4 linked regions of the Anolis sagrei genome follow. The protein of the gene in region 3 purifies or fractionates together with the protein of the main gene of each other region. This does not show direct contact. Links are inferred from orthologs where the notes say so. Each region holds a gene or a part of one and is shown on either strand. Other genes may lie near its edges. The genes, in order: PHRF1, CEP170, CSNK2B and RNF111.

Region 1 (7,425 bases), on a different chromosome or scaffold from region 3:
GGAGCACCTGTAGCTCCTATTTGAGGGACATAATTTCTAATATATTTGCCTTGGCTCAATGCTATGCTATGTTGGGATTTGTAGTTTGGTGAGGCATCAGCATTCATTCTACACCATAGATGCACCCCAATGTTTTCTTTTCCACTAAAAGCTTTGGTGTTCTAACACTTCTGTTTTTAAAGATGGAATTATAAGAAAGCAACCATTATAATGTACACCTTTTTGTCCAAATTATAAAGAGTGCACTTTTTGCCGCTGAGCATTACATTTGCCAACAAATACCTTTTTTGTTTCAGAGTTTTGGAAATTGAGGTGCGCATAAGATTTGATGGCACATTAGACTCGAGTAAATATGGGTATATGCCCAAACAAACCTATCCAGAAACAATACAGTAACTCTACTTCTGAATATATACAGGATGCCTTTGCCTTCCCACAAAGCAAGTGGCAGTCTGTTCCTCTTACAAAAGGCCTAATACAGCAGACAGTTTTGTTTAAGTAATTCTGAGATCTCTACAGATTTCCTTGGGTCTCAATCAATAAAGAAATGCAAGGTACAAAAACCCAACATCATTATGTCTGAAAAACTACATTGTCTTCACTTCCTTGGTAAATCCTGGCCCTACACACACCTCCTTTTAAAACCAGATTCACAAAACTTGGAGAGATGGCTTTTCAATTTCTCACTAAGAAATTGCTTTTTCCCTTCCATTTTACAACCCTACTTTTTAATTGAGTTCTTCTTGTTAACCAGTTGCTAAAAGACAAAAGGGGTCTGCTCTTGCTCATCAACAAGTTAGAAGAAAACGGCTATAAGCAGAAAGGCTTTAGTAGCACTAATGTAGAGAGAAGCAGAAGTAAAAAAGAAGACTTGAGCCTCAAGCCTTTGCCATCTCCCATTTATTTACGAAGTAAAACCTTCATCTTGTTTTTTGTTTTTGTTTTTTAGATTAGAATGAAATGTTTAACAGGTACATAATTAGATGGAAGAGAGAAAGAGGCTGAGACAAAGGATTCTCAGCTATTGTTACTCAGTAAAACATACTACTGACATCAGGAGGATATTGAAAAAGCCTGCCCTGCTATCAGATGTGCAGAATTCAGGGAAGGGAATTCAGTGCCTTGCATTCAAAACACAAGACACTGAGGCAAAAATCTACTCAATTTTTTCTGGCAGCATTACCTAACTGCTATAAATACTTTAGTTTGTCTACCCTATCTTACCACCTTCTACTCCAAGCACCTTCTTCATTTAAAAAAATCTAAATACAGACAATAATGTTATCTAAAACTAGTCTGATTTAGATAACATCACTGTCTGCATTTAGATCTTTTGTTTAAAAAATGGATATTATATAACAAAATAGTTGAATATTACTCATGTATCCATTTTATAAAAATTATGAACTATTTATACTCAGTACTGCACAAGAATTTCATGTGATAAAGGAAGCCTAGAAATATTTGGGTTTTAAAAGATAGCAATAAAAGGATTATAATGAAAACTCTAAGGCATATTGTACAAAGAATGTGAGAGACTAAACAGTTTCCAGGATTTAGTGACTGAAAAATGAAGACTGACAAACACCTACATTTAAATAATCTTTCCTCCCAACTGTGATTGTTTATAGTGTAAACAATGGACACAGAACTCTACAAGTAAAACAACAAAAACAGCCTACCCTGCCAAAGGATGTGATCTAAAATATGTTTATATATATATATACACACACATAGTCAGAGGAAGGAAGAAGAAATGGAAAAACTAAACAATACAAGAAGCCATTGCTGGGTTAGGGATTGGGCCAGTATCAGAAACAAAAGTGGCCGATAGTTTGCAGATGCTAAACACTGGAACTGAGTGTGAGAAAACCAGTAAGCCTTAAAAAGCAGCAGCATAAGAGCAAACCAGGCTGAAACATGGTTAAAATTTAGTTCTGTCAAAAGAGCAGCATGGTTAAATAAATGTGTAGCTGAAAAGGGGTGGTGCTTATACAATACAACTGTTTAATTGTTCCTGTTGTTATTTAGTAGATGACTGCCATTTCTAGAAGAGTTTTGTATACTTTCCCTCCTACTGGTACTTGGCAGATTACTACCACTGCATAGAAAAAGAACCAACATGTCAAATATTAGAAGTTAACAGAGACATTTATGACATTACCCTTAAATACTCGAAGAGATATTAGTAAAATTAGATAAATGATACCAAGGGAGTGAGTTAATACTGATAATTGATGCAGGTAACATGAACCTGTGTTCAAGAATACTTCAAACTCACTTTTGTGTTGAAAAGCAGTTTAAAAAGAGGTCACTGTTGGTGCATCTATGTATTTTAGATAGCCCTAAACAACCCCGGCCCAGTTTACTTGTTCAAACACATCTCCCTTTACGAACCACCACGAAAACTAAGGTCTTCTGGGGAGGCCTTGCTCTCGGTCCCACCACCATCACAGGCACGTTTGGCAGGGATGAGAGACAGGGCCTTCTCAGTGATTGACCCCCGGCTATGGAACTCCCTTCCTGGCAATATGAGATCAGCCCCCTCCCTCCTGTTCTTCAGAAGGATGGTGAGGACCTGGCTGTGGGACCAAGCCATTGGGGCAATGCATTCAGGCAACAATATCTATTATTTCCACAGTGCAGACCAGGAATAGGCAAACTTGGGCCCTCCAGGTGTCTTGGACTTCAACTCCCACAATTCCTAACAGCCTACCGGCTGTTAGGAATTGTGGGAGTTGAAGTCCAAAACACTTTAGAGGGCCCAAGTTTGCCCATGCCTGGTGTAGACAGACACACAGCCTTCCTGCTACGAAAATACCTCTTAATCGGGAACCAATTCTATAAAGGGGGCCTTCGACATGGCGCTAGACTACAGTCACAACAGTCAAAGGCCTTTCTCCTTCTCCCTCCACATTGTGGCGACTCCATAACAACAACATACCTCTCCCCCCCCCCCCGCGCCCGCCCCATAGGAATACGTAAAGAGCTGGCCTGCCCCTCACCTGTCAGGAGGGGACCCTACCAGGTTAGGAGGCAACAGCAGGACCGCAATGCGCACGCGCGGCCCCCGCCTCCGGTGACAGCAGAAACGAAGAGAATATCTAGCGAGGACGGAGAGTAAGCCGGGCCGATGCGAAGGCCAAAGCCGTGGCCGCCCCGGAAGAGAAGGAAGTCCCACTTCCGGGTGATCGTACGCGGTGGGCGGGCCAGAGGAGGCGGAAGTGTCGGGCTGTTCTATTTCTGTACTACGAAAGGGGGGGCGGGGGGGAGCTGCGAGCCAATCGTCGCGTGGGGTAATCCTTCGGGCGCGCTCCTCTCAGCCTCCTCCTGCGCATGCGCCGGGTCTGAGTCGAGGGTGCTCAAAGAAGTCTGCGCCTTGTTTACAAAAGGAGTGTGTCGCTCTCGGGGATGCGCCTACCTCCCCTGTAGAAACGACGCAGTTTCCTCACGCCCGTGGCTCCTACTATGGGATCATGGGAGTTGTCGTTTGACAAGGTCTGAAGCGTACTCTGCCAGAGAGCGCCGCTTTCTCAACAAACTACAACATCTACCTTAGCATCAGGGGTTAAAGCAGGACTCCTCGAACTGCGGCCCTCCAGCTATTTTGGCCTCCAACTCCCAGAATTCCCGGTCATTGAGCAAGCTGGCTAGGGCTTCTGGGAGTTGGAGGGCCGCAGTTTGAGGATGCCTGGGTTAAAGGTTTGGGCTCCCAACTTCCAGAAGCCCCAACCACCTCGGCCAATAATAATAATCAGGAATTCTGGGAATATCTGAAAAACCACATTGAGAAACACTGCTTTAGAGGATACGTGTGTTCAGATGGTTTTATTTGTGTACTAGGTTGAGGGAAGGCGGGTAAGAAATTATTATCATCATTATTATATTTATTTGTACCCCACGGCACTCCATGCAGTCATGTTGGCCACATGATCTTGGAGGTGTCTACGCCGACTCTTCAGCTTAGAAATTGAGATGAGCACCACACCCCATAGTCGGACATGACTGGACTTCATGTCGGGAAAACCTTTGGAGACCAAAATCCACTGATTGTCGTAATGTGAAAGTATCTAAATTAACTCAATGTATACATTACAAATACACATATCAACAAAACACAGAGCTGCCACATTCATATTAAGCAGAAACAACTGCTTCTTCTCTTGAAGTATGAAACAAAACCTTCGTGTGATTAATAGTCCTTGAATGATAATAAATCTTATTCTTTATTGCATACGAGTAGACTCCAGTAGTCACACGACTCAACTCCAACCTGCAACCGATTTCGACTCACAAGAGCCTTCGTCAGGTGGTTGGGTCTACAAACAACACATATGAATACACACATACAGTTGAACAATTTGTTACATCAAGTTTGTAAATGTATATACAGACTGTCTACTTACTCATTTATCCAAAAAGGCTCATCTATTAAAAAAAAAAGGCTCAACTTTTGAAGTAAGCGATTCACCAACAATGTTCTTGAGAGGTGGAGCCTAAGGGGACATACATAGTGGCTAAAGGTAGTATTGCATCGCACCTTTTACCCCAATTTAACTGTCCTGCAGGACACTCAAAGCAACTGATCATAAAATATCACCAAACATCATCAACAACAACAACCTCTGAGGATGCCTGCCATAGATGCAGGCAAAACGTCAGGAAAGGATGCTTCTGGAGCATAGCCATACAGTCCATACAAACACAGATCAACCCAATAATAATAATAATAATGATAATAATAATAATAATAATAATAATAGTTCCTGAGTTTCATTATAGTAGTAGTCTCAAGTGAATGTGGACCCCTTCTACACTGCCATATATTCCAGATTATCTGCTTTAAACTGGATTATATGGCAGTTTAGACTCCCATAATCAGGTTCAAAGCAAATAATGTGTGTTGCCTTCTTTGATAATTTGAATTCTATGTCAGGGCCCTTCCACACAGACCTATATTCCAGAATATCAAGGCAGAAAATCCCTCAATATCTGCTTTGAACTGGGGGCCCTTCTGCACAACCCTGTATCCCAGAATATCAAGGCAGGAAATTGCACATTATCCGAGTGTGGACTCATAACCCAGTTCAAAGCCGAAAATGTGGGATTGACATTCTGGGAGATAGGGCTGTGTGGAAGAGCCCTGGGTTATCTGAGTCCACACTGCCATTTATTTCAGTTCAAAGCGGAAAATGTGGGATTTTATTCAGCTGTATGAAAGAGGCCTCAGTGTAGATGGTCAGAGTGGCTATTGAGAGATTAATTGTGCATCTACGGGCCCTTCTACACAGCCCTATGTCCCAGAATATCTGTTTTGAACTGGGGTATCTTGAGTCCAGACTCAAATAATGTGGGATTTTCTGCCTTGATATTCTGGGATATAGGGCTGTGTGGAAGGGCCCCCACTTGTAGAATTAATGCAGTTTGGCACAATTTAATAGCAATAGCTATGAGATGTAGGGCCCTTCCACAAAGCTGTATATATCAGAATATCAAGGCAGGAAATCCCACAATATCTGCTTTGAACTGGGTTATCTGAGACCAAGTGCAGATAATGTGGGATTTCCTGCCTTGATATTCTGGGATATAGAGCTGTGTGGAGGGCCAAAGATTTGTTAAGGCCTCCTTATTGCGTTACTGTGTTTCTTGTAATAGAAATTAAGATAGCCTAAAAAGGCATAAATTATCTGAGTCCACACTGCCATATATTCCAGTTCAGTGTGGATTTATACAGCTGTGTGGAAGCGGCTCCTGTGTTACAAGGTCCTTAGCCTTTTTTGCCCAGAAGTACTAGTTCCTCCCCAAACAACAGCTCTCAGGATTCCATGGAAGGTAAAACAGTGTCAAACCATATCAATGTTACAGTGTAGATTAGGGGTCCTCAAACTAAGGCCCGAGGGCCAGATACAGCCCTCCAAGGTCATTTACCCAGCCCTCACTCAGGGTCAACCTAAGTCTGAAATGACTTGAAAGCACACAACAACAACAATCCTATTTCATCAGCCAAAAGCGGGCCCACACTTCCCATTGAAATACAAGTAAGTGTATATTTGTTAAAATTCTTCATTTTAATTATTATATTGTTTTTTAAGGTTTTTTTTTTTTTGCACTACAAACAAGATATGTGCAGTGTGCATAGGAATTCATTCATGTTTTTTTCAAATTATAGTCCGGCCCTCCAACAGTTTGAGGGACTGTGATCTGGCCCTCTGTTCAAAACGTTTGTGGACCCCTGGTGTAGATGAACCCAAGTCCAAAACATATGGAAGACCAGCCTTTGGAAAACGCCACTTTAGTAGACGGCTTCAAAGTTCCTATGGCCGTACCAACACTGCCATATATAATCCAGTGCCTGAATCCAGATTTAGTATATTCCCTATTTGGGAAGCGTTTAAAGTTGAGTTTATTGCCCTGGGCACCTTGGAAATAGGGCGTGAGCCGCCATTGAGCATTTTGGAGGGGCCCAACTGAGGGTGGAGGCAAGAGGCTGCAAGGCGCGCGGCCGCCGCTAGGGGCCTCCCGCGAGCCCTTCCTTTCATTCCGGCGGCGCGAGCGAGCGGCGCGTGAGGGACCCGATGAACAGAACTGCATCCCAGAGAGACCCCTATGCGCGCGCGCGCGCTCCCCGGGATTAATTAATAGCGGGATGAGATTAGGCCACGAGCCCACGAGGAAAATCTCGCCTTCTTAAGAAGCATTTCCGCGGGAGCACAGTCCCCCACTGAGCTTGCATCCGCACTGTACAGTGGATGCGGTTTGGCATCGCTTTAACTGTCCTAGCTCAGTGTTGGGGAATCGTGGGAGCTGCAGTTCGTCAAGATCTTGAACCGTCCTTCCTGGAGAGCGGTGATGATGATACCCTATCAAACTACAGTTTCCCGTGATTCCATAACACTGAGCTGCAGCAGTTAAAGTTGCCTTAAACTGCATGAATTCTATAGTGGAGATGCACCCCTAAGAATGAAATGACGTGATTCCCAGCTGCCAAAGTGGGGGCCACGCAGAAGAGCCAGAAATGGGCAACTACAGCCATCCTTGCATCGGGATTACAGCCCTACACGCCAGTGAGTGCCCTGGGGTGGGCAGAATCCCAAGTGATGTTGGACCACAACTCCCATCATCCTTTCCAATCCTGTGCTGGCTGGGGCTGGTGGGAGTTGCAAGCCAGCATGGCCAACAACTCTGCATGTCCTTGCTGTTGTTGAATTTACTAAGGATTTCTTCTGAGTATATATTCTCACTGAATCAGACTTCACACAGATAGTGCCAGTAAACAATAGGTCCTTCCACACAGCTCTATATCCCAGAATATCAAGGCAGAAAATCTCACAATATCTGCTTTGAACTGGGTTATCTGAGTCCACACTGCCATTTATTTATTTATTTATTTACGGCATTTATATTCTGCCCTTCTCACCCTGAAGG
Region 2 (7,975 bases), on a different chromosome or scaffold from region 3:
TTTGTGTGCATATAGTAGAACAAGGTTTTAAGTAGATAGAAGTCTGTAATACAAAAGACAAGTATGCTACACCCACTTGAAAATTATACTTTTATGATCTTAGCTTGCACACAAGGCTCTATTTGGCTGGAAATCAGTACCTTTTAGGAAGCATGTATTATGCATGCTTTCTCAGTAACTATTCACATTCAAAAAAGAAAAATTTAAGCTTAATTAGTCTTTTTCTTCATTGTTTTATCTGACAATCAACCTGACTGAAAAAGTACTGAACAGCACATCTTCCAGCCCCATGGTTCTTCTGGGTGGCTCTTTTAATTTCTCCTCCCCTTCTTATTGGATCACTGCTCTCTTGTGTCCCTGATTTCCTTGTCAACCATTACCAAGGTTGTTCTGTTTGCAGCAACTCCTTCAGCAACTGCTCAGTTCACTCAATGTTAATTCACTTCCTTATATTGGAAGGCGGGCTCCATAAGTAACATCACATAGGTTTTTAAATGCTGTATGCTTTGATATTGTTATTGTTTATTGCTTATTGTGTATTTTCTGTTTTTGAGTTTATTTTAACTGTTTTGTATTGATTATTGTTATTGCTTTTGTTTATTGATGTGCTGTGGGCTTGGCCTCATGTAAGCCGCACCGAATCCCTTGGGGAGATGGTAGCGGGGTACAAATAAAGTTTTGTTATTATTTATTATTATTTATTATATCCCTTCGTGTACAATACAGATTAAAATTAGGCATTTTTGCATTCAAAATCAAAGTTTGGGTTCTTGTTCAAGAGGCATTAATACTGAGGCACCGGCCCTTGATTTTTGTCAGCTACAAGATATCTGCAAGTCTCTAAATGATTTTATTATTCATCACAAACATATTTTTGGAATTAATGCACTATACTAGACTAAAGATTAGTATATTCTTTAGGGGGGCTACATATTTTCCTCTGCGCCCATTACATTTTTAAAGCTTTGTTACATCAAGTTTTCTTCCTCCTTCCAACCCTTCCACTCGTGAATGCAATTCAGTGCTGGCAAACTCCTCTTGGTTGCATTGTATAAAAGCATGGCACCAAATACTCTCATGTTAAAAACCTGAGTACTGTATACTGTTTCAAATAAATAATGTATAAAGAATCTGCTTTGCTCCTATTGCATAAGGAAACAATTTGAACAAGTATTCACCATACACTGCTTGTTTACTTGCTCTTTGCTAACAGCTGAAAAGAAAATCACACTAGCTTTTATCTGATGCAATTTTGTTACCAGCAGATATTTAAAAATTAGTTGAGAAATAATAAGTAACTCAAACCCATTGCTCTCTTAAGCAAAATGTAGCTCTTCTGTGTGTGTGCCATCTTTTGAACAGCCATAGCCATTTAATGCATTCAATGACTTCCTGCTCAGATGCAAAAGCAATATCTTACCTGATGCCAGAGGCTAACTGAATTGTAAGTGCACGCTGTACTAGAAAACAGTTCTGGGCAGAAGCCCTCCTCTTCCCTTCCCCCATCCCCAGCATCCGGTTCCAGGCAATGACTAGATGAGATCACAAAAGGCAGCTCATCTGTAAAGCTGTCATATGCTTCCTTCATCGAGTCAGCTTCCTCTTTCATAAAATGCTGGATTCTTTCAAAACCACTCAAAGATTTGTTTATTAGCATTGCAACCAATGCAGTTCACTTCCAAGAAAGCAGCTATGACTAGGACGCCTCCCACATGCACAAAATGAACAATTTGGAAGGATGCTTTCCACAAACAGCCTGATATGTGTCGCTTCTGAGAAGCCGGTTCTCTGACCAAAGACTACATTAAAAAACATATATACCTATGTTATTTGGGGGGGGGGGGGATATTTTTAAAGTCTAATTTTACAGTAATCTAAAAATATATTATGACCTTAGATTGGGGGTGTTTATACTTAAGCTGTAGGAAAGATTGGAATACAAAAGGCTCAATTTATTATTATTATTATGGGGTGTTTATACATGTAGGAAATATTGAAATACAAAAGGCTCATATTATTATTATTATTATGGGGTGTTTATACATGAAGGAAATATTGGAATACAAAAGGCTCGGATTATTACTCTTTTTTTGCACAAACCACACACACTCTTCAATTGGCTGGATTGTTTTTACAAAGGCATATACACACAAAAGCCTGCGCCATCAGAAATATGTGGACAAAGGAGAATCGAGATAGTTGGAAGAGATGGATAGGAAGAATAACAAAACAGAGAGGCAAGGCCCTCTTCAGGCACCTCTGAGGCCCCTTCTACACTGCCATATAATCCAATTCAAAGCAGATAATCTGGATTTTATATGGTAGTGTAAAAGGGGCCTGCCTGGGTGTGTTTTCTGGGGTCCCATCAGCACTGCCATATAACATCCAGTTTCTGAATGCAGTGTAGACTCATATAATGCAGTTCAAGGCATCCTGAAACTGGATTAGGTGGCAGTGTAGATCCAGGCTGGATGGGGGGGAAAAGGCTCCACCTGGGTGCAATTTGGGCCGTCCCTCCTCTTACACCCACAGCCCTTGCAGCCTTCCCTGAGTCTCAAGAGAGGCAAGCCATTGGAGACGCAACAGTGGTCACAGAAGAGAACAAAAAGGGAGATGGGAAGGGCAGGTCCCACTCCTAACAGCCACAACAACGTCGGCCGGGGTGCTGCAGACACCCGCCTCGGGGGAGGGAAGGAGAAGGGAAGGGGCGGGGGCGCACAAAGGCCTGTACTGGCGGCGCTTTCTCCCCGAGGGAGGCACAGGGGACATCCCACCCATCTGGGCAAAAAGGGCCTTGGGCCCGGCGCAGCATCACTCACCCCGCTCGGGAAGCCACAAGACGCGCCCTTGACTCAGAGGCCCACCATCTTCCCTCTCCAGAGCAAGGAGAAGGGAAGGGAGGGGGAGGGGCCCAGAGGGAGGGAAGGGCGCGCGAGGACCCTCCCCCTCTCTCTCTCTCTCTGCGTCGCGCGCGCTTCTGTAAACCGTTCTAACGTTATTCCCAGCGTATTGCGCGGCTAACGGCGCGGCGCGGGCGAGAAGAACTACTGCGCAGGCGCTGTCTCCTGACTGACACACAAGCGCGCACGCGGGCGACACTCGCGCACATAGCCACAGGCGGGGGGGGGGGCACAAAATGCTTTGCCCCCGAAATAACCTAGTGCGCAGGCGCAAGGCGGCTTGCGCTATCAAATTCTTTGTAGACAATAGAAAGAGGCAGAGAAAAGAACAAAACAAAACAAACGTTTGGCCATAAAATAGTTCGTGTACCGGTTGAAGAGCAGCTGAAATGGAAAATAGAGTTATCTGTTCTTCTGAGATGGTTAGAAATTATCAGTCCTGCTAAAAATGATCAGTCCTGTTGTGTTACGATTACAAGAAAAGACTCAAAATGCAGTCAAAGTAATTGGCACAAACAGTGTTAACCTCTTCCACACAGCTATATAACCCAAAATATCATGGCAAAAAATCCCACAATGTCTGCTTTGAACTGGGTTATCTGAGTCTGTGCGGGGCTTGATGAATGCAAAGCTGGGGTGAAAATTGCTGGAAGAAACATTAACAACCTCAGATATGCAGATGACACCACTCTGATGGCCGAAAACGAGGAGGAGCTGAGGAGCCTTCTAATCAAGGCGAAAGAAGAAAGCGCAAAAGCTGGGCTGCAGCTAAACGTCAAAAAAACCAAGATTATGGCAACAAGAATGATTGACAACTGGGAAATAGAGGGAGAAAATGTGGAGGCCGTGACAGACTTTGTATTTCTAGGTGCAAAGATTACTGCAGATGCAAACTGTGGCCAGGAAATCAGAAGACGCTTACTTCTTGGGAGGAGAGCAATGTCCAATCTCGATAAAATAGTAAAGAGCAGAGACATCACACTGGCAACAAAGATCTGCATAGTCAAAGCCATGGTATTCCCTGTAGTAACCTACAGATGTGAGAGCTGGACCTTAGGGAAGGCTGAGCGAAGGAAGATAGATGCTTTTGAGCTGTGGTGTTGGAGGAAAGTGCTGAGAGTGCCTTGGACTGCGAGAAGATCCAACCAGTCCATCCTCCAGGAAATAAAGCCCAACTGCTTACTGGAGGGAAGGATACTAGAGACAAAGTTGAAGTACTTTGGCCACATCATGAGGAGACAGCAAAGCCTAGAGAAGACAATTATGCTGGGGAAAGTGGAAGGCAAAAGGAAGAGGGGCCGACCAAGGGCAAGATGGATGGATGGCATCCTTGAAGTGACTGGACTGACCTTGAAGGAGCTGGGGGGGTGGTGACGGCCAACAGGGAGCTCTGGCGTGGGCTGGTCCATGAGGTCACGAAGAGTCAGAGACAACTGAATGAATGAACAACATCTGAGTCTACACTGCCATGTATTCCAAGTCAAAGTAGATAATGTGGGATGTTATTCAGCTGTGTGGAAGGAGCCTTAGGCCCCTTCCACACAGATGAATAACATCCCACATTATCTGCTTTGACTTGGAATACATGGCAGTGTAGACTCAGATAACCCAGGGCCCGTCCACACAGTCATATAACCCAGGATATCAAGGCAGAAAATCCCACAATATTTGCTTTGAACTGGGTTTGCTTTTTGGGATTTTAAAAAATATTTTGAAGCCGTGTTTAGTTGAATCCACGACAACAGAAGACCAATTGTGTTTGGTAAGAGTTACACATCTGGTTAGGAGGGCTTTAAGTGTTGGAGATATTAATGGCCCAGCTGTTACTGTGGGAAAATAAGCAACTAGAAGGAATGATCTTTGACACTACTCCACAATCAATTAACAAGATGAAGTTGAACTCTTAAAAATTTGTGAGAAAATAGATCACTGAAACCTGGTGGGACAAATCTCATGATTGGAAGGTAGTAATAGAGGGATATATTTTTCTGAGAAACAGATCAAACAAGAAAGTAAGATGAGTCACATTATATAATCAAGGATAGTATACCTGTGAAGCCAAGATGAGAGCATGTGGAGAAAAAATTAAAGTGAGAGAAGAGGGAGGTCATTGTGTAATTGTGAGGGTCAAAACTAACAAAATTAATTTAAACAGGCAAAAATGTACGGTACTACACTTGGACAATAAAAATCAAATGCACAGATATAGAATGGGTGACACTTGGCTGGAAAACAGTACATGTGAAAGGGATTTAGGAGTCATAATACACCACAAGTTGAACATGAGTCAGCAGTGTGGCACCTAAGAAAACCAATGCGATTCTATGCTGCATCAACTGGAGTACAGTGTCAAGAAGTTGACAAGAAAGGAGGAGGATGAGATGCATTGTATATCAAGAATGTTTACACCTTGTGTGGACATCTGTGACATAAATCCTGAAAGCCAGGATTTATGTCATGGAAACAACAGGGATGTTGTTGTGGTGGTCTACTACAGGCATTCAACCCAGACTGATAACTTAGACGATAGCTTTCTAGATTAGATGACCAACGAGAAATATAGTAATAATGGAAGATTTTAACTATCCTGACATTTGTTGGAAGACAAACTCTACCAAGAATGTGAAGTCTAACAAACACCTCCTTTTAGACAATTGTATCATCCAGAAAGTAGAAAACGCAACAATTATGATCCTAGCCGACAATGATTTCCTGGTGCATGGGGTGGAAGTGGTGAGTTCCTTAGGTGGAGTGATAATCTTCTCCTGGTTTCTTCTATATAGCAGAGAAGGGAGAAACAAGCCACTCTGAGTCCCATCAGGGTTAGAGGAGTGGGATAGAAATATAGTGAATAAATAAATAAATGGGGTTGGACTGAATGGCTTTTGGAGGTCTCTTCCAATTCGATGGTAGCTGTGGCAACACCCACTTCCTAACTGCCAATACACACACACACACACTTTATTTTTATCTCGCCTTGCTCCTGAAATAAGGATGTTAGTATGAATATAAAAATTCAAACAATGAAATCTTTGTCATTAAATTCTGTTTTATTCTATTCTATTTGTTGTGGATCAACTCCTTTGGGCTTTGTGCAAATCTACCAAAATATAGGATCCTGTGCTTTTCTTTTCCATTTCTGAACAAATAGTTAACCATTTGGTCATCCCATCGAGTACGAGTTCTTCCCAAGGCTGCTTGTGACCTCTTGGTATCCAGCTGTCACTAAATATAAAAATCAAAATACAATTAAAATTATATTTTAAAACTCAGCAGCCCCCCTCCCCAACACGATTAAATTTGTCATTCATTAAAAAATATAGGTGCCACAAAGTGGTAGTAAAATTTATTGTTTGGTGGTACAGTGGGTTAAACTGCTGAGGTGCTCAACTTGCTGACCGAAAAGTTGGCAGTTCGAATTCGGGGAGCAAGGTGAGCTTCTGCTGTTAAGCCCAGCTTCTACCAACCTAGCAGTTCGAAAACATGCAAATGTGAGTAGATCAATAGGTAACATTCTGGCAGTAAGTTAACGGTGCTCCATGCAGTCATGCCAGCCATATGACCTTGGAGGTGCCTACAGACAACGCTGGCTCTTCGGCTTAGAACGGGAGATGAACACCAATCCTGAAAGTTGGACATGAGTAGTCTTAATGTCAGGGAAAATCTTTACCTTTACAAACACATTTTTATCTCACCTTTCTCCCAAAAGAGGGACTCAAGTGAATATTATACAATACAATACAAATTAAAAACAAGGCATGTTAGTATGAATATAATTTTTTTAAAAAAACAATGAAATATTTGCCATTAAATTCTATTCTATTCTATTTGTCATGGATCGACTCCTTTGGGCTTTATGCAAATCTACCATTTGCCAAAATATAGGATCCTATGCTTTTCTTTTCAATTTCTGGCCAAATAGTTTAACCATTGGTTTCTCCCATCAAGTGTGAGGTCTGCCCCTTGATGGCCTCTTGGTGTCCATCTGTCATTAAATATAAAGATTAAAATGCAATTCAAATTAAGTTTTCAAACTAGACAACCCCCGCCCCCCAACATGATTAAGTTTGTCATTCGTTGAAAAATACAGGTGCCACAAAGTGCTTCACTATTTATTGGTTGATATAACATAGGAGCCTCCTATGGCACAATGGGTTAAACCCTTGTGCCAGCAGGACTCCTGACTGACAGGTCAGCAGTTTGAATTCAGGGAGAGCGGGTTGAGCTCCCTCTGTCAGCTCCAGCTTCCCATGCGGGGACATGAGAGTAGCTCCAACAAGGATAGTAAAACATCAAACAACTGAGCGTCCTAACAGATGGCCAATTCTCTCGTCGCTCCTAACAAAAACAAAAATACAGGCATGGGCAAACTTGGGCCCTCCCTCCAGGTACTTTGGACTTCAACTCAAACATAATTCAAGAACATGGGAACATGGAAATTAAGAATTCTAATTAACCAAAACATTTACTAATGTAAAATTAATGATGTATTCAGTTCAGAAACAGTTTGAAAGCTTCAGCGTTATTGACTAAGGGCGCATCAACACTAGACACAGAGCCGGCCCTAGGTAATTTTCAAAGGTAAGCAAACAGTATTTTGCCCCCCACCCCAACCAATCATTGATATATATTTTCTGTTCATTGTGGGAGTTTTGTGTGCCATATTTGGTTCAATTCCATCATTGGTGGAGTTCAGAGTGCTCTTTGATTGTACATGAACTATACATCCTAGTAACTACACTTGCCGCACTTGCTCCCTTGCCTGGCCCGCTTTGGGTCCGGAGGTGTGCCTGAAGACCCCGGCGTATGCACCAAAAGTCACCTCTTTTCCTGACTTTCTCCTCAGCCATTGGGACCGAGAGAGGTGGGGAGGCCCACCTTTCCTGAAGATAGGCGCAAAATCAAAGGAGGGAGTGGAGGTGGGAGATACCTCCAGCTGGAGGGGCTCTCTCTCTCTCTCTCTCTCTCTCTCTCTCTCTCTCTCTTGGTCCCAATGGCTGAAGAGAAAGTCAGGAGAAGAGGCGACTTTTGGTGCGCACGCTGTTATCTTCAGACACGCCTCCGGACCCAAAGCG
Region 3 (8,069 bases):
CCATAACTCACCTGGCTATTCTCCCTGCTTACCCAGAAACTAACTCTGTGAAAGGCTTCTCTAGAAGTCCTGCTCCACAGGTACTATTTTCAGTGGCTTTGCCCGTTATGTACCAACTAAAGGCTCTCTGTATACATACCAGAGACAGAGAACTCCCAAACCTTGGCCCCATCTATACTACCATATAATGTAATTTGAAACTGCATTACAGGGTCAGTGCAGATTCATATAATGCAGCTCAGTGCAGTGAAACAGTATTATCTGAGTTTTCACCTGGGAAAACTTGGGCTCTCCAGGTGTTTTGGACTTCAACTTCCACAATTCTGTCTTGGGCCCTTTGCTTTTCCCCCTCAGCTGCTTAAGCGGCTGAGGGGGAAAAGAAAGGGGCCTGAGGCTGTTAGGAATGATGGGAGTTGAAGTCCAAAACACCTGGAGGGCCCAAGTTTGCCCATTTTATTTTTATTTATGGTATCAAGAGCTTTTCCATCAGTTAGAAGGCATCCTGCCTTGTTCCGTTTTACTCAGGGCTCTTATTTTCTCTGCTCCCCAATTTACACTAGAGGTAACATTTGCTGGGTTTTGAGTTGTTATTTCTTGACGTCTCTGTAAAACCAGGGCCAGGAGAACATACAAGTTGATCAACCTTGTCGGTGACCAAGGAACATCCCAAAAGACCTCTTGAGTGTACGCCTTCTGCCCCCTCTTCCTCTTCCTTCCTTAGTGTCGACGTTGCCCCTAAATACAGTTTTCCAGCTCCATTCCAGAGGCCACAGCATCCCAAGGTTGGAGCACCAAGTCCGACCAGTCAAAGACGATGGCCACCTTTTGCCAGGTCTCTTTGGTCAAAGGGCAGTCCCTGATGAAATGCTCAGTGGTCTCCAGAGGCTCACTTCCAGCAACACAAGCTTGTTTCTGGCACAGAAGTCTAGGACAAACTTGTCCTTTTTCTTTCAGCCACGGTTGGTTGCCCTTCAAATAGTATATCTGATGGTATTTATTTATTTATTTGTTTGTTTGTCAAAGGCTTTCATGGCCGGAATCACTGGGTTGTAGGTTTTTTGGGCTATATGGCCATGTTCTAGAGGCATTCTCTCCTGACATTTCGCCTGCATCTATGGCAAGTATTCTCAGAGGTAGTGAGGATGCCATAGATGCAGGCAAAACGTCAGGAGAAAATGCCTCTAGAACATGGCCATATAGCCCGAAAAACCTATAAGAACCCAATTTATTTATTTATCATGTCAGGAGCAAACCAAACAGTTGTATTGCATTAAAAACAAACAAACAAAACTGAAAGTTTGCAAACTTGTTATTCTATTAAATGTCCTTTGACCAGTAGCTGGCCAGTTGGAGTGCTTCTGGTGTTGCTATAAGAAGATCCTTCATTGTGCATGTAGCAGGGCTCAGATTGATTTGTAATAGGTGGTCTGTGGTTTGCTCTTCTCCTCACTCGCATGCCGTGGACTCCACTTTGTGGCTCTGTATCTCGTGGTGCCAGAGCGCAGTCTGTTCAGCGCCAATAATAATAATATTATAAACTTTATTTATACCCCCGCCACCATCTTCCCAATGGGGACTCGGAGCGGCTTACATGAGGCCAAGCTCAAATGACAATTACAATAAAGAAAAACCAAAAACAGAAACCGAAAACGCAAATAAACAATATCATCATAGTTACATAAAACATATGAATACATAACAATATAAAAATTACAATACGCACAGGCACAGTAATAGTGGGCAGGCTACATGTCGTGATTAAAAAGACAAACTGATTAAAACTAATTAAAAACTCGGGTGAGATAATTAAACTAATTAAAAACTCGGCCTATGAGCCCACGAGGACCTTGAGATCGTCTGGGGAGGCCCTTCTCTCGATCCCGCCTGCCTCACAGGCACGCCTGGCGGGGACGAGGGATAGGGCCTTCTCGGTGGTGGCCCCCCGGCTGTGGAGCGCCCTCCCTGTAGACATCAGACAGGCGCCCTCCCTTATGACATTCCGCAAAAGACTAAAGACATGGTTATTTGAGAAGGCGTTTGACTAAGTGCTACAACAATTGGCAATGATGACTGGAACGGAATATGGATAATGAGATTGGTATATGATTCTACGATGAGACGGCGCGGATGATTTAGTGTAATTGTATTATTTGATTGCTATATTGATATTATTGTTGTGATATTCCCTTATTGTAAACTGTTTTTATATGTTGTACACCGCTGTGAGTCGCCCTAGGGCTGAGAACGGCGATCAACAAATGCAGTAAATAAATAAATAAATAAGAAGCAGGTAATTTACGGAGGAGGGCTCATTTTAACGGGAGTTGTGGAATCAAGCTTTCTGTGTGCCCAGGAGGAAGTCTCTCATTTGGTATCAGTCATGGATTGTGGTTCTGAGTTTTCGCCTGCCACTTTTGGACTCTCGTTTGCTGAGGTGTTCCTGTGAGTGTTTCTATAGTTCTCAGAAAACTATTTCTTGATTTAGGGTGTTTGCCCATGCCTGGTTTACACTGTAGAGGCGCCCAACACAATTCAGAACAGTTACACCACATTGTGTTGTTGAAGGCTGGAATCACTGGGTTGCTGCGAGTTTTTCGGGCTGTATGGCCATTTTGGAACGAATTATATGATTTGACTCTAACCCTATAATGCATTATGTGACAGTGCGGATGGGGCCTAGGGTTTGGGGAGGTTGTACGTTTCTGCTTCCTGTGTTTCGATCCGCCTTATATGGTAGTGCAAATGAGGCCTTTCTCCCTCCATGGAAAGGAGAAGAAGCAGCTTCACCTCTATGCGTACCCTTTGGCCACAAACATGAGACCGGCACGCAGCCCTTCTTCCCCTTCCCATGTCTTCCCCAAACACAGCCCCCCGGAAGCCTGAATCCCACCCCACCCGCCTCTCTTTCCCGAGGAGCAACTCCCTAAAACGACCCCCTCAGAACTCACCCCAGGGGGCAAAACTGCCTCAAGGAGAGGAAGCCGGGGCCGCAAACAAGCTTCGGACCTCTAAGGCCTCGGCCAGCTTCAACCGCGCATGCGCCACTGCCGCTGGCAGCGAAGCATCGCGGGACTGTAGTTCTTTGGCGCCAAGAAAGCGCAGGGGAACAAGGGAGGAGGGACTCCAAGCCCCAGAGTGCAACGGGAAAGGAAGCTCAAAGGCAGGGGCTAGGCCGCAGGGCGCGCTGGGAAATGGAGTCCAAATGACCTTTAAGTCCTCTCGGCTTCAAAAGATATTGGTATATTCTGAAACTACAACTCCCAACCTGCAAATGAAAGGCGCTTAAGGGCCCTTCCGCACAGCTTGATATTAAAGAATATCAAGGCAGAATATCCCACATTATCTGCCTTGAACTGGAATATATGTCACTGTGGACTCAAGAGTTCAAACTGATTTTCTGGGGACCCTTCCACACAACCCTATATCCCAGAATACCAAGGCAGAAAATCCCACATTATATGAGTGTGGACTCAGATAACCCAGTTCAAAGCAGATATTGTTACCTATCCGATCACATCTCCGCCTACAAACCCACTAGGACTTTGAGATCTTCCGGGGAGGCCCTGCTCTCGATCCCGCCTGCAACACAGGCATGGCTGGCGGGACGAGAGACAGGGCCTTCTCGGTGGTGGCCCCTCGGCTGTGGAACGCCCTTCCCACGGACATTAGATTGGCTCCCTCATTGATGGTATTCCGGAGAAAAGTGAAAACCTGGTTATTTGAACAGGGGTTTGAATAGGCAGTGCAATGAATTCAGGAAATGGAACTACGATTGACGAGTTTGGATCATGATTCTAGTTATGAGACGCCACTTGAATGTTTGCTACTGTTTAATTGTTTAGTTTGCTTCTGTGTTGATTGTTTTTAAATACCTTGTTGATGCCGCATTGAATTTTTGCTTTCATTGTTTTGCCTTGTCTTGCTTTGCTTGATTGTTGTTAACCGCTGTGAGTCGCTTTAGGGCTGAGAATAGCGGTATACAAATGAAGTAAATAAATGAATAAATAATAAATATTGTGGGATTTCCTGCATTAATATTTGGGAATATAGGGCTGTGTGGAAGGGCCCTCAGCCTCTGCAGAGGGAAAAGGAAGCCTTTGGGCCCTTCCACACAGACCTATATCCCTGAATATCAAGGCAGGAAATCCCACATTTTCTGTTTTGAACTGGAATATATGGCAGTGTGGACTTGGATAATCCAGTTCAAGGCAGGTATTGTGGAATTTTCTGCCTTGATATTCTCGGTTATATTGCTGTGTGGAAGGGCCCTGGATTATATTGCAGTGTAGACTCAGATAATCCAGTGTAACGCAGATAATGTGGATTATCTGATTTGATAATCTGGATTATATGGCAGTGTAGAAGGGGCCTAAAAGCCCTGCACTAGAACATTATTGTTTAAATCAGGGGTCCTCAGACTTTTTAAACCGAGGGCCAGGTCACAGTCCCTCAAACTGTTGGAGGGCCGGATTATAGTTTGAAAAAAATGAATGAATTCCTATGCACACTGCACACATCTTATTTGAAGTGCAAAAAAACCACTTAAAAACTATAGAATAATTAAAATGAAGAACCATTTTAACAAATATAAACTTATTAGGATTTCAATGGGAAGTGTGGGTGTGCTTTTGGCTGATGAGATAGAATTGTTGTTGTTGTTGTTGTTGTTGTGTACTTTCAAGTCGTTTCAGACTTAGGTTGACCCTGAGCGAGGGCTGGGTAAATTACCTTAGAGGGCCGTATTCGCCCCCCGGGCCTTAGTTTGAGGACCCTTGATTTAAATTGTGGGTCCTGAGCCCAACTGGGGCCCTCTGCTCAATGTTGGGGTCCAGAAAAAATCGGCTAACTCTAATCTAGTCGTTGTTTTAGGCATTTACATGAACTTTCTCTGCAATGTTTACTGTGGACTCTGCTGAAAATGCTTCAGTTGTTCTTCATAGAATGGAAAATAAGCTGGCATATGCTGATTTGTTATTATTATTTATTTTTATACCTATTTTATATACCTGAGGTCACATGATTTTTAGGGGTTAGAAAGGGGTCACAAGTGGGGAAAAGGTTGAAAGAAGCTCTACACTAGGACCTAACAAATTCTTAGGGCCCTACCACACAGCCCTATATCTCTGAATATCAAGGCAAAAAATCCCACAATACCTGCTTTGAACTGGGTTATCTGAGTCCACACTCAGATAAAGTGGGATTTTCTGCCTTGATATTCTGGGATATAGGGCTGTGTGGAAGGGCACTTAGAGAGAACATTTCTCTGAGAATCACTGTGTCCTTTATCACAAGTCTATGGTTTGAAGGGACTAGAAGTAAGGTAACACTGTGTAACAACATTTGAAACATTGTGTTTCTATGTTGTAGAAGGCTTTCATGGCCAGAATCGCCAGGTTGCTGTGAGTTTTTTGGGCTGTATGACCATGTTCCGGCTGCATTCTCTCCTAATGTTTCACCTGCATCTGTGGCTGGCATATTCAGAGGTCTGTTGGTAGTGAGGCAAGTGGAGTGTAATAATGTCCAGGATGGGAGAAATAACCCTTGTCAGTTTAAAAAACACCAGAATCAAGACAGTAAATAAGGAACACCATTCAGAAACTGGGGAGCTCCAGATACCAAACAATCATGTGCCAGTTAACACCTCCCAAATAGTGGGTGTGGTACAAAGCCCTGGTTACCTCTATGCAGATACCCCCACTGATTGACTATGCACCTTTATGGCTACCCAGTACTATTCGAGCTTGCTAACTGCAGCATTCATACTTTAAACAGACAAGTGCTCTTTCTTCCACCCTGGACATTCCACATACACTCCACTTGCCTCACTGCCAGCAGACCTCTGAAGATGCCAGCCATAGATGCAGGCAAAACGTCAGGAGAGAATGCAGCTGGAACATGGCCATACAGCCTGAAAAATATACAGCAACCAAAGCATTTACATACTTTGAAAGGAGGTGTTACACTCCAGAAACTTCCATTTTTGTGGCCGTCACAAACTGTTAAATTGATTGAGACTCAATTTTCATTGAAAAACTATCGCAAAATGTGCTGTAGGATGTCCCTGCAGTTTTTGCAGTTTAACAAACTTTTCCTATGTTTTTATGATAGAACCAATTAGGAAATGACATTTAAAACCCAGGAACAGAAATTGTGTTACACATAGGAGAAAGAACTCTTGTCTGTTTGGAGCAAGTGTGAATGTTGCAATTGGCCAGCTTGATTAGCATGGAGTAGCCTTGCTGTTTCAAAGCCTTGCTGTTGTTGCCCAGGAGCATCCTTTGTTTGTGAGGTGTTAGCTGGCACTTGATTGCTTGATGTCTGGAGTTCCCCTGTTTTTGAGTGGTGTTCCTTATTTACTGTCTTGATTTGGGTGTTTTTTTTTAATACTGGTAACAAGATTTTGTTCATTATCATTGTTTTCTCCTTTCTGTTGAAGTTGCCCACATATTTGGGGATTTCAGTGACTTCTCTGTGTAGTCTGACATGGTTGTTGTTATTGTTATTATTATATTTATACCCTGCTTTAACTCCTCAAAGGAGACTCAGAGTGGTTCAGCAGAGTGGTTGTCAGAGTGGCCCACCATTTGTGTGTTCTCAAATACAGTATTATCCTGTGTCCAGGTTGGTTCATCAAATGCTCTGCTATAGCTGACTTCTCTGCTTGAATTTATTCATTCATTTATTTGCACTATTTATATTCCGCCCTTCTCACCCCGCAGGGGACTCAGGGCGGATTACAGTGTATACATATATGGCAAACATTCAATGCCAGTTTTGGCATACAACGTATCTGAAGAAGTACTTCCGCATTCCCTGCATGCTTTTGCTGGAGTGTTTTTGCTGGAGTCTTTTTTATGGCCTCATAAATTAGTTAATTTAGCCTCCCCACACAAGGTGGTACCTAAGTTTCCTACTTGACAGATGCAACTGTCTTTCAGGTTGCAAAGGTTGACAACAGGCTACACAACTGGTTGGAAGCCCACTCCAACCCGGGCTGGCTTCGAACTCATGACCTTTTTTGGTCAGAGTGATCTGAATGCAGCTGACACTTGGCCAGCTGCGCCACAATCCCGGTGAATGGCTTTCATGATCTTCGATTCATGTCTGGGCAATGCTGTGTTTGGCAGTCCCTATGTAGACTCATCCACAGCTGCACAGTCTATGGTAAAATCTCATTAAAATATCTTTTAAAAGAGATTTTAAGGATTTAATATTTTTGAACTATTTGGATTATATTATATCTTATTGTTTTTTAGAGTTTGTCCATGATTTGTTTATATATTACTGTCAGCATCGAATGTTTGTCACTGTGTTTATTTTGCTGTAAGCCACCCTGAGTCCCTTCAGGGACATAGTTTAATTTCATTTCATTTCACCTGCAGTGGTTAGAGGATCCCTCTTATCCTTCGCTGAATGTATCATTTGTTGCATTTTCTTGGTGGGTCTGTAGATTGCTTTTAGGTTGTGTTTCTTCATCAGCTTCCCTATGTGGCCAGTGGTTCCCTTGATGTATGGTAAGAATACTTTTCCTCTGCGTGGATCTTTGTATTTACTTTCATGGCTTGTTCTTGGTCTTGCAGCTCTTCTGATGTCTGTCGTAGACATCTCCTAGAGCAGGGGTCCTCAAACTTTTTAAACAGAGGGCCAGGTCACAGTCCCTCAAACTGTTGGAGGGCCGGATTATAATTTAAGAAAAACATGAATGAATTTCTATGCACACTGCACATATCATATTTGTAGTGCAAAAACACTTTAAAAGAATACAGTAATTAAAATGAAGAACAATTTTAACAAATATAAACTTTTAAGTATTTCAATGGGAAGTGTGGGCCTGCTTTTGGCTGATGAGATAGGATTGTTGTTATTGTTGTTGTGTGCTTTCAAGTCGTTTCAGACTTAGGTTGACCCTGAGCGAGGGCCGGGTAAATGACCTTTGAGGGCCATATTCGGCCCCCGGGCCTTAGTTTGAGGACCCCTGTCCTAGAGTCTCGACCAATTCAACGTAGTTTGCGGCAGCCACAAAAACGAAGTTTCTGGAGTAGAACAACTACTTTCAAAGTAAGTAACAC
Region 4 (7,551 bases), on a different chromosome or scaffold from region 3:
ATAATCTGGCCCTCCAACAGTTTGGGGGACTGTGACCTGGCCCTCTGTTTAAAAAGTTTGTGGACCCTTGTTTTATGTAATATATTGAATTGTGTGTGCAGATCTAGATATATCTTTGAGTCACAATCTCCCTCCAGATCTATATCTATAGATAGATAGATATAATATAATGTTTTATAGAGAGAGGGGAGGAGGGGGAGAGAGAGAGAGAGAGAGAGAATAAAATATACCGGCGACCTTTTGGTCAGCAAGTTCAGCAACTCAGCAGTTTAACCCACTGCACCACTGGGGCTCCATATATATATGTATATACTATTATATTTTGTGATATGTATATATATATCTATATATATATTGGGGGTGGTGACGACCAACAGGGAGCTCTGGCGTGGGCTGGTCCATGAGGTCACGAAGAGTCGGAGGCGACTGAACGAATGAACAACAACTCGGGATGAACGGAGTCATCCCGAGTCCCTCTGCGGAGATTGAGATATGACGGGATATAAAAGCCTGGAATCTATATAAATAAAAATGTAGTGTTCGTTTGTGGGATTAACAGAACTCAAAAACCACTGGACAAATTGATACCAAATTTGGTCACCAGACACCTAACAATCCCATGTATGTCCGTCACTTAAAAAAAATTGATCTTGTCATTTGGGAGTTCCTGGGATTTATAGTTGACCTACAATCAAAGAGCATTCTGAACCCCACCAACGATGGAATTGAACCAAACTTGGCACAGAGTTCTCTCAAGACCAACAGAAAATACTGGAAGGGTTTGGTGGGCAGTGTCCTTTGGTTTTGGAGTTGTAGTTCACCTACTTCCAGAGAGAACTGTGGACTCAAACAATGATGGATCTGGACCAAACTCTACACAAATACTCAATAAGCCGAAATGTGAACACTGGTGGAGTTTGGAGAAAATAGAATCTTGACATTTGGGAGTTGTAGTTCCTGGGATTTATAGTTCACCTACAATCACAGAGCATTCTGAACCCCACCAATAACAGAATTGGGCCAAACCTCCCACACAGAAATTGGGCCAAACCTCCCACACACCTCCCCATGACCACCAGAATGGGACACAGCAACGCATGGCAGGGGACGGATAGTATATATATATATATGTGTGTGTGTGTGTATGTATGTATGTATATATATGTGTGTGTGTGTAATGTTCGTTTGTGGGATTAACAGAACTCAAAAACTACTGGACAAATTGACACCAACTTTGGACACAAGACACCTAACAACCCAATATATGCCCTCCACTAAAAAAAAATATTTTGTCATTTGGGAGTTGTAGTTGCTGGGATTTATAGTTCACCTACAATCAAAGAGCATTCTGAACCCCACCAATGACGGAATTGAACCAAACTTGGCACACAGTTCTCCCATGACCAACAGAAAATACTGGAAGGGTTTGGTGGGCACTGTCCTTTGGTTTTGGAGTTGTAGTTCACCTACATCCAGAGATCACTGTGGACTCAAACAATGATGGATCTGGACCAAACTCTACACGAAGACTCAATATGCCCAAATGTGAACACCGGTGGAGTTTGGGGAAAATAGAATCTTGACATTTGGGAGTTGTAGTTGCTGGGATTTATATTTCACCTACAATCACAGAGCATTCTGAACCCCACCAATGATAGAATTGGACCAAACCTCCCACACAGAAAGCCCATAACCACCAGAATGGGCCACAACAACGCGTGGCAGGGGACGGCTAGTATATATGTGTGTGTGTGTGTGTGTATATATATATATATATAATGTTCATTTGTGGGATTAACAGGACTCAAAAACCACTGGACGAATTGACACCAAATTTGGGCACAAGACACCTAACAACCCAATATATGTCCTTCACTCAAAAAAATTGATTTTGTCATTTGGGAGTTGTAGTTGCTGGGATTTACAGTTCACCTACAATCACAGAGCATTCTGAACCCCACCAACGACGGAATTGGGCCAAACCTCCCACACAGAACCCCCATGTGGGCCACAGTAATGTGTGGCAGGGGACAGCTATATAATGTGATACATACATATATATATATATATATGGCATTATATGTGTGTGTGTGTGTGATATAATATAACGTGATACATATATAAATATATATATATATTCCGAGCCACAATCTCCCTCCATATGTAGCTATATCTATGGGCCCTTCCACACAGCTATATACATACATATATATATGGCATTATATGTGTGTGTGTGTTATAATATAATGTGATACATATATATATATTCCGAGCCACAATCTCCCTCCATATGTATCTATATCTATGGGCCCTTCCACACAGCTATATACATACATATATATATGGCATTATATGTGTGTGTGTGTGTTATAATATAATGTGATACATATATATATATTCCGAGCCACAATCTCCCTCCATATGTATCTATATCTATGGGCCCTTCCACACAGCTATATACATACATATATATATGGCATTATATGTGTGTGTGTGTTATAATATAATGTGATACATATATATATATTCCGAGCCACAATCTCCCTCCATATGTATCTATATCTATGGGCCCTTCCATATAGATATATCCCAGAATATCAAGGTAGAAAATGCCACAATATCTGCTTTGAACTAAGTTGAGTCCACACTCAGATAATGTGGGATTTTCTGTCTTTGTATTCTGAGAGAGAGAGCTGTGTGAAAGGGGCCTATACAATATAACAAGGCCCCCTTCTCTCCAAGCAGATCTGCGTGTCTTTCTCCTCCCGGGCCGGGCCGGGCCTAGTCTCCCCCCGAAGCCACGGCCTCCGTTTGCAGTTATGCCCGAGGCCAGGGGCCCTCCTCGGGCCTACTCACCGGAGGGTGCGCGGTGGGGCCTCCCGCTAGGCTTAGGCCTGAGCCTTCCTGCCTTCCTTCCTTCCTTCCCCCTTCGCGGCCTGGCTTTCCCTCAGGCGCCGCTCTCCTCCTCCTCCTCCTTCTCTTCCTCACCGCCTCTGTCGCTCTGCTCGGCGGACGCAGCAGCGCGACACTCGGCAGTGGGATTGCTTTACGGCAAAGCCGCCAAGCAGCGCCGCCACCGCCTCTCCTAAGCCCCGCCCCCTCAGGGAGTAAAGAGGTTCAAAAGCACTGAACGTCACGTCTGGTTCTGGTGCGACGCTTTTGGGTGAGAGTCATGGCAGGGTCATCCACACAGTCAAAGGCTTTAGAATTGACTACTCTAAAGCCTTTGACTGTGTGGATCATAATAAATTGTGGCAAGTTCTCGGTGGGATGGGCATCCCAAGCCACCTTGTCTCTCTCCTGAGGAATCTGTACAAGGACCAAGAAGCAACAGTCAGGACTGACCACGGAACAACAGACTGGTTCAAGATTGGGAAAGGCGTACGGCAAGGCTGCATCCTCTCACCCAACCTTTTTAACTTGTATGCAGAACACATCATTCGAGGATGTGCGGGGCTGGATGAATGCAAAGCTGGGGTGAAAATTGCTGGAAGAAACATTAACAACCTCAGATATGCAGATGACACCACTCTGATGGCCGAAAGCGAGGAGGAGCTGAGGAGCCTTCTAATCAAGGTGAAAGAAGAAAGCGCAAAAGCCGGGTTGCAGCTAAACATCAAAAAAACCAAGATTATGGCAACAAGAATGATTGACAACTGGGAAATAGAGGGAGAAAACGTGGAGGCCGTGACAGACTTTGTATTTCTAGGCGCAAAGATGACTGCAGATGCAGACCGTGGCCAGGAAATCAGAAGACGCTTCCTTCTTGGGAGGAGAGCAATGTCCAGTCTCGATAAAATAGTAAAGAGTAGAGACATCAGACTGGCAACAAAGATCCATTGCCTAGTCAAAGCCATGGTATTCCCTGTAGTCACCTACGGATGTGAGAGCTGGACCTTAGGGAAGGCTGAGCGAAGGAAGATCGATGCTTTTGAACTGTGGTGTTGGAGGAAAGTTCTGAGAGTGCCTTGGACTGCGAGAAGATCCAACCAGTGCATCCTCCAGGAAATAAAGCCCGACTGCTCATTGGAGGGAAAGATACTAGAGACAAAGTTGAAGGACTTTTGCCACATCATGAGAAGAAAGCAAAGCCTAGACAAGACAATTATGCTGGGGAAAGTGGAAGGTAAAAAGAAGAGGGGCCGACCAAGGGCAAGATGGATGGATGGCATCCTTGAAGTGACTGGACTGACCTTGAAGGAGCTGGGGGTGGTGACGGCCGACAGGGAGCTCTGGCGTGGGCTGGTCCATGAGGTCACAAAGAGTCGGAGACGACTGAACGAATGAACAACAATCACAAAGGACTACCACCTCACCTGCTTCATAGGAAACCTGCTACAAAACAGGAGCTTTTTTGTTGAGTTCAGGGCCAGAGAAGCAGATGGCGGAAACAGAAGAACGGCCTGCTTCAGGGGAGCGTGCTTGCTCCATCAATGTTCAACATTTACACAAATGACCATTCCACCTAAACATTAGGAAGAACTTCCTGATGGCAAGAACTGTCCCACAGTGGAATGGACTTCTGTCTCGAAGTATGATGGAATCTCCTTCTCTTGTGGTCTTCAAGCAGAGGTGGAAACTACAACTCCAAAACCCAAGGTTAATGCCCACCAAACAAGTGTTAATGCCCACCAAACAAGTTGGACAAGTGTTTTCTGTTGGTCATGGGAGTTCTGTGTGCCAAATTTGGCTCAATATCATAATTGGTGGAGTTCAGAATGCTCTGGTTGTAGGTGAATTATCAATCCAAGCACTATAACTCCCAAATGTCAAGGTCTATTTTCCCTAAACTCCACCATTTATTTATTTATTTATTTATTTACTTTACTTTACTTGTATACCGCAGTTTCTCAGCCTAACCGGCGACTCAACGCGGTTTACAACAAGGATAAAATCAATCAACGATATACAATTTAAAACCACAAGAGCACAATATACAATATTACACAACAGTAACAACACAATGCATCTCATAACTAGAGTTGTGATCCAAATTCGTCGTCCATATTTCCATTCCTGTAATCGTCACATTCATTGCACTGATTAACCAAATGCCTGTTCAAACATCCAGGTTTTTAATCTTCTTCGGAACACCATTAGCGAGGGGGCTGATCTTACCTCCATGGGAAGGGCGTTCCACAGCCGAGGGGCCACCACAGAAAAGGCCCTGTCTCTCGTCCCCGCCAGCCGCACCTGTGAAGCAGGCGGGATAGAGAGCAGGGCCTCCCCAGAAGATCTTAGGGTCCTGGCGGGCTGATAGGCAGAGATACGTTCGGATAGGTAGCTTGGGCCAGAACCGTTTAGGGCTTTAAAGGCCAACGCCAGCATTGAATTGAGCCTGGTAGCAGATCGGCAGCCAGTGGAGCTGGTGCAGCAGAGGAGTGGTATGCTCCCTGCGCTCCGCTCCTGTTAGTATCATGGCTGCCGAACGTTGGACTAGTTGGAGCTTCCGAGCTGTATTCAAAGGCAACCCCACGTAGAGAGTGTTACAGTAGTCTAAACCATTGTTCAAATTTGGGCATATTGAGTATTGTGTTAAGTTGGTCCAGATCCATAGTGGTTTGGGTTCACAGTGCTCTCCGGGATGTAGGTGAACTACATCTCCCCTAAATGGAAATGTGAGATCGAGCTCTCAAGCCCCAGCTTTCAAGCTGATCTGAAAGTGCAGCAGAGTTCCTGAACATCTGGATGAGCCAGCAACAAAGAGACTGTGGCCACAGCAGCATTCAACTAAAGACTATTTCTCTCCATTTTCTTTCCTTCCCCTTCCCTAACATTGTAACTATCCCCCAATAAAGAAGTATTTATTTGTAACATTTCACTCTCTGTAGTCATATGTTGTATCCCTTTACTGCCTCTAACCCAGTGGTTCTCAACCTTCCTAATGCCGCGACCCCTTAATACAGTTGTGGTGACCCCCAACCATAACCCTAACATTATGAATCGCCATGTAAATAATAATCTGCAGGATATATTTTCATTCACAGGAACAAATTTGGCACAAATATCTGGTATACCCGAATTTGAATACTGGTGGGTTTGGCAGGGGGATTTATTTTGTCATTGGGAGTTGTAGTTGCTGGGATTTATAGTTAACATGTAAACAAAGAGGATTCTGAACCCCACCAACAATGGAATTGAACCAAAGTTGGCACAGAAAATTCCCATGATCAACAGAAAATACTGGAAGGGCTTGGTGGCATTGACCTTGAGTATGGGAGTTGTAGTTCGCCTACGTCCAGAGAGCACTATGGGCTCAAACAATGATGGATCTGGACCAAACTTGGTACGGACACTCAATATGCCCTAATGTGAACACTGATGGGGTTTGGGGAAAATAGACTTTGACATTTGGGAGTTGTAGATACTGGAATTTATAGTTCACCTACAATCAAGGAGCCTTCTGAATCCCACCAATGATAGAATTGGGCCAAACTTCCCACACAGAGCCCCCATGACCAACAGAAAATACTGTGTTTTCTGATGGTCTTTGGCGACCCCTCTGACACCCCTTCGTGACCCCCTCAGGGGTCCCGACCCCCAGGTTGAGAAACACTGCTCTAACCCGTTCTAACATGAACCTTTCCTTTTCTGAGCTTCAGATCACTGCTGGCTCGCCAAGGATGCTCTTACAGCGTCCCGGAGAGGCCGAAACTGTGTTCCTCTGAACCGTGGATATGGAAATCAATTTGGCCCCCGTATCTGCAGGTCAACGGACCATCTCCAGACCGGTGCCATCTTTTTCCTAGATTAATTCTAAGACTAAATGCCATCTCGCTTTTTGCACTATGGACCCCTGCGCCCCGAGAAAAATCATTTTTATCTCAAAACCTCATGTGGGGACCAGTTGACTTTGGTCCATGGCTCCATGCGGCAGCGACATTTGTGCCTCCATCTTGTGTGTGTCCAGAAGCCTGCCAACCCCGGGGAACCTGCCGTGGTCACCCCTTGGGAATCCTGAACCTCTGACGGGGCATTCTGGCCATTGGACAAAATTGGATTTATAGTTTTCCTTTCTTCAAATGAATGGATCTTGACCATCAGCACTCACAGTAACCCCAATGTGCTCCCCGTGGACTCTTATGAACTTTCCAAGGCTCCCTATGAACTTTCTCCCAACCTTTATGAACTTTTGCAACTTTTTAAAATTTTAATCAACTTTTGGTGAACTTTGGAACTCTCAGGCGCCCTCTGCCTAACCCCAGTGAACCCTTTATGAAATTCCACAACTCTTTATGAACTTTTAAGGATTTTGGGGGGAGGGAAGGCTGTCATGGTTCCCCCTTGACTTTGCATGATTTATCTATATACGGTATATAAAAATGCTCTGTGCATAATGAGTACCTTAAAAACAAAAGAACCAATAAACGAAATCACACCAAATTTGGCAACAAAATGTCTCACAACACAAGGAGTGACCATCACTCAAAAAATTATGATTTTGTCATTTGGGAGTTGTAGTTTCTGGGATTTATAGTTCACCTACAATCAAAGAGCATTCTGAACTCCACCAATGATGGAATTGAACCAAACTTGGCACACAGAAGTCCC

The links.
Region 1: the proteins of CSNK2B (region 3) and PHRF1 purify together in Homo sapiens (affinity purification with mass spectrometry; 3 studies listed by BioGRID and IntAct, with this or other methods). This does not show direct contact. The link is inferred for Anolis sagrei from reciprocal best matches to the Homo sapiens genes CSNK2B and PHRF1.
Region 2: the proteins of CSNK2B (region 3) and CEP170 purify together in Homo sapiens (affinity purification with mass spectrometry; 3 studies listed by BioGRID and IntAct, with this or other methods). This does not show direct contact. The link is inferred for Anolis sagrei from reciprocal best matches to the Homo sapiens genes CSNK2B and CEP170.
Region 4: the proteins of CSNK2B (region 3) and RNF111 purify together in Homo sapiens (co-immunoprecipitation; 3 studies listed by BioGRID and IntAct, with this or other methods). This does not show direct contact. The link is inferred for Anolis sagrei from reciprocal best matches to the Homo sapiens genes CSNK2B and RNF111.

What each region holds. Positions count from the first base shown.
Region 1 is NC_090021.1:240,404,222-240,411,646, reverse strand, and holds the start of PHRF1 (PHD and RING finger domain-containing protein 1), read right to left. Parts: upstream 3,193-7,425; 5' UTR 3,026-3,192; exon of another isoform or gene 3,006-3,025; intron 1-3,005.
Region 2 is NC_090021.1:55,663,920-55,671,894, reverse strand, and holds the start of CEP170 (centrosomal protein of 170 kDa), read right to left. Parts: upstream 3,058-7,975; 5' UTR 2,820-3,057; intron 1-2,819.
Region 3 is NC_090022.1:19,659,737-19,667,805, reverse strand, and holds the start of CSNK2B (casein kinase II subunit beta), read right to left. Parts: upstream 3,059-8,069; 5' UTR 2,949-3,058; intron 1-2,948. UniProt on the Homo sapiens protein: Regulatory subunit of casein kinase II/CK2.
Region 4 is NC_090029.1:12,186,951-12,194,501, forward strand, and holds the start of RNF111 (E3 ubiquitin-protein ligase Arkadia), read right to left. Parts: upstream 3,043-7,551; 5' UTR 2,857-3,042; intron 1-2,856. UniProt on the Homo sapiens protein: E3 ubiquitin-protein ligase. Required for mesoderm patterning during embryonic development. Acts as an enhancer of the transcriptional responses of the SMAD2/SMAD3 effectors, which are activated downstream of BMP.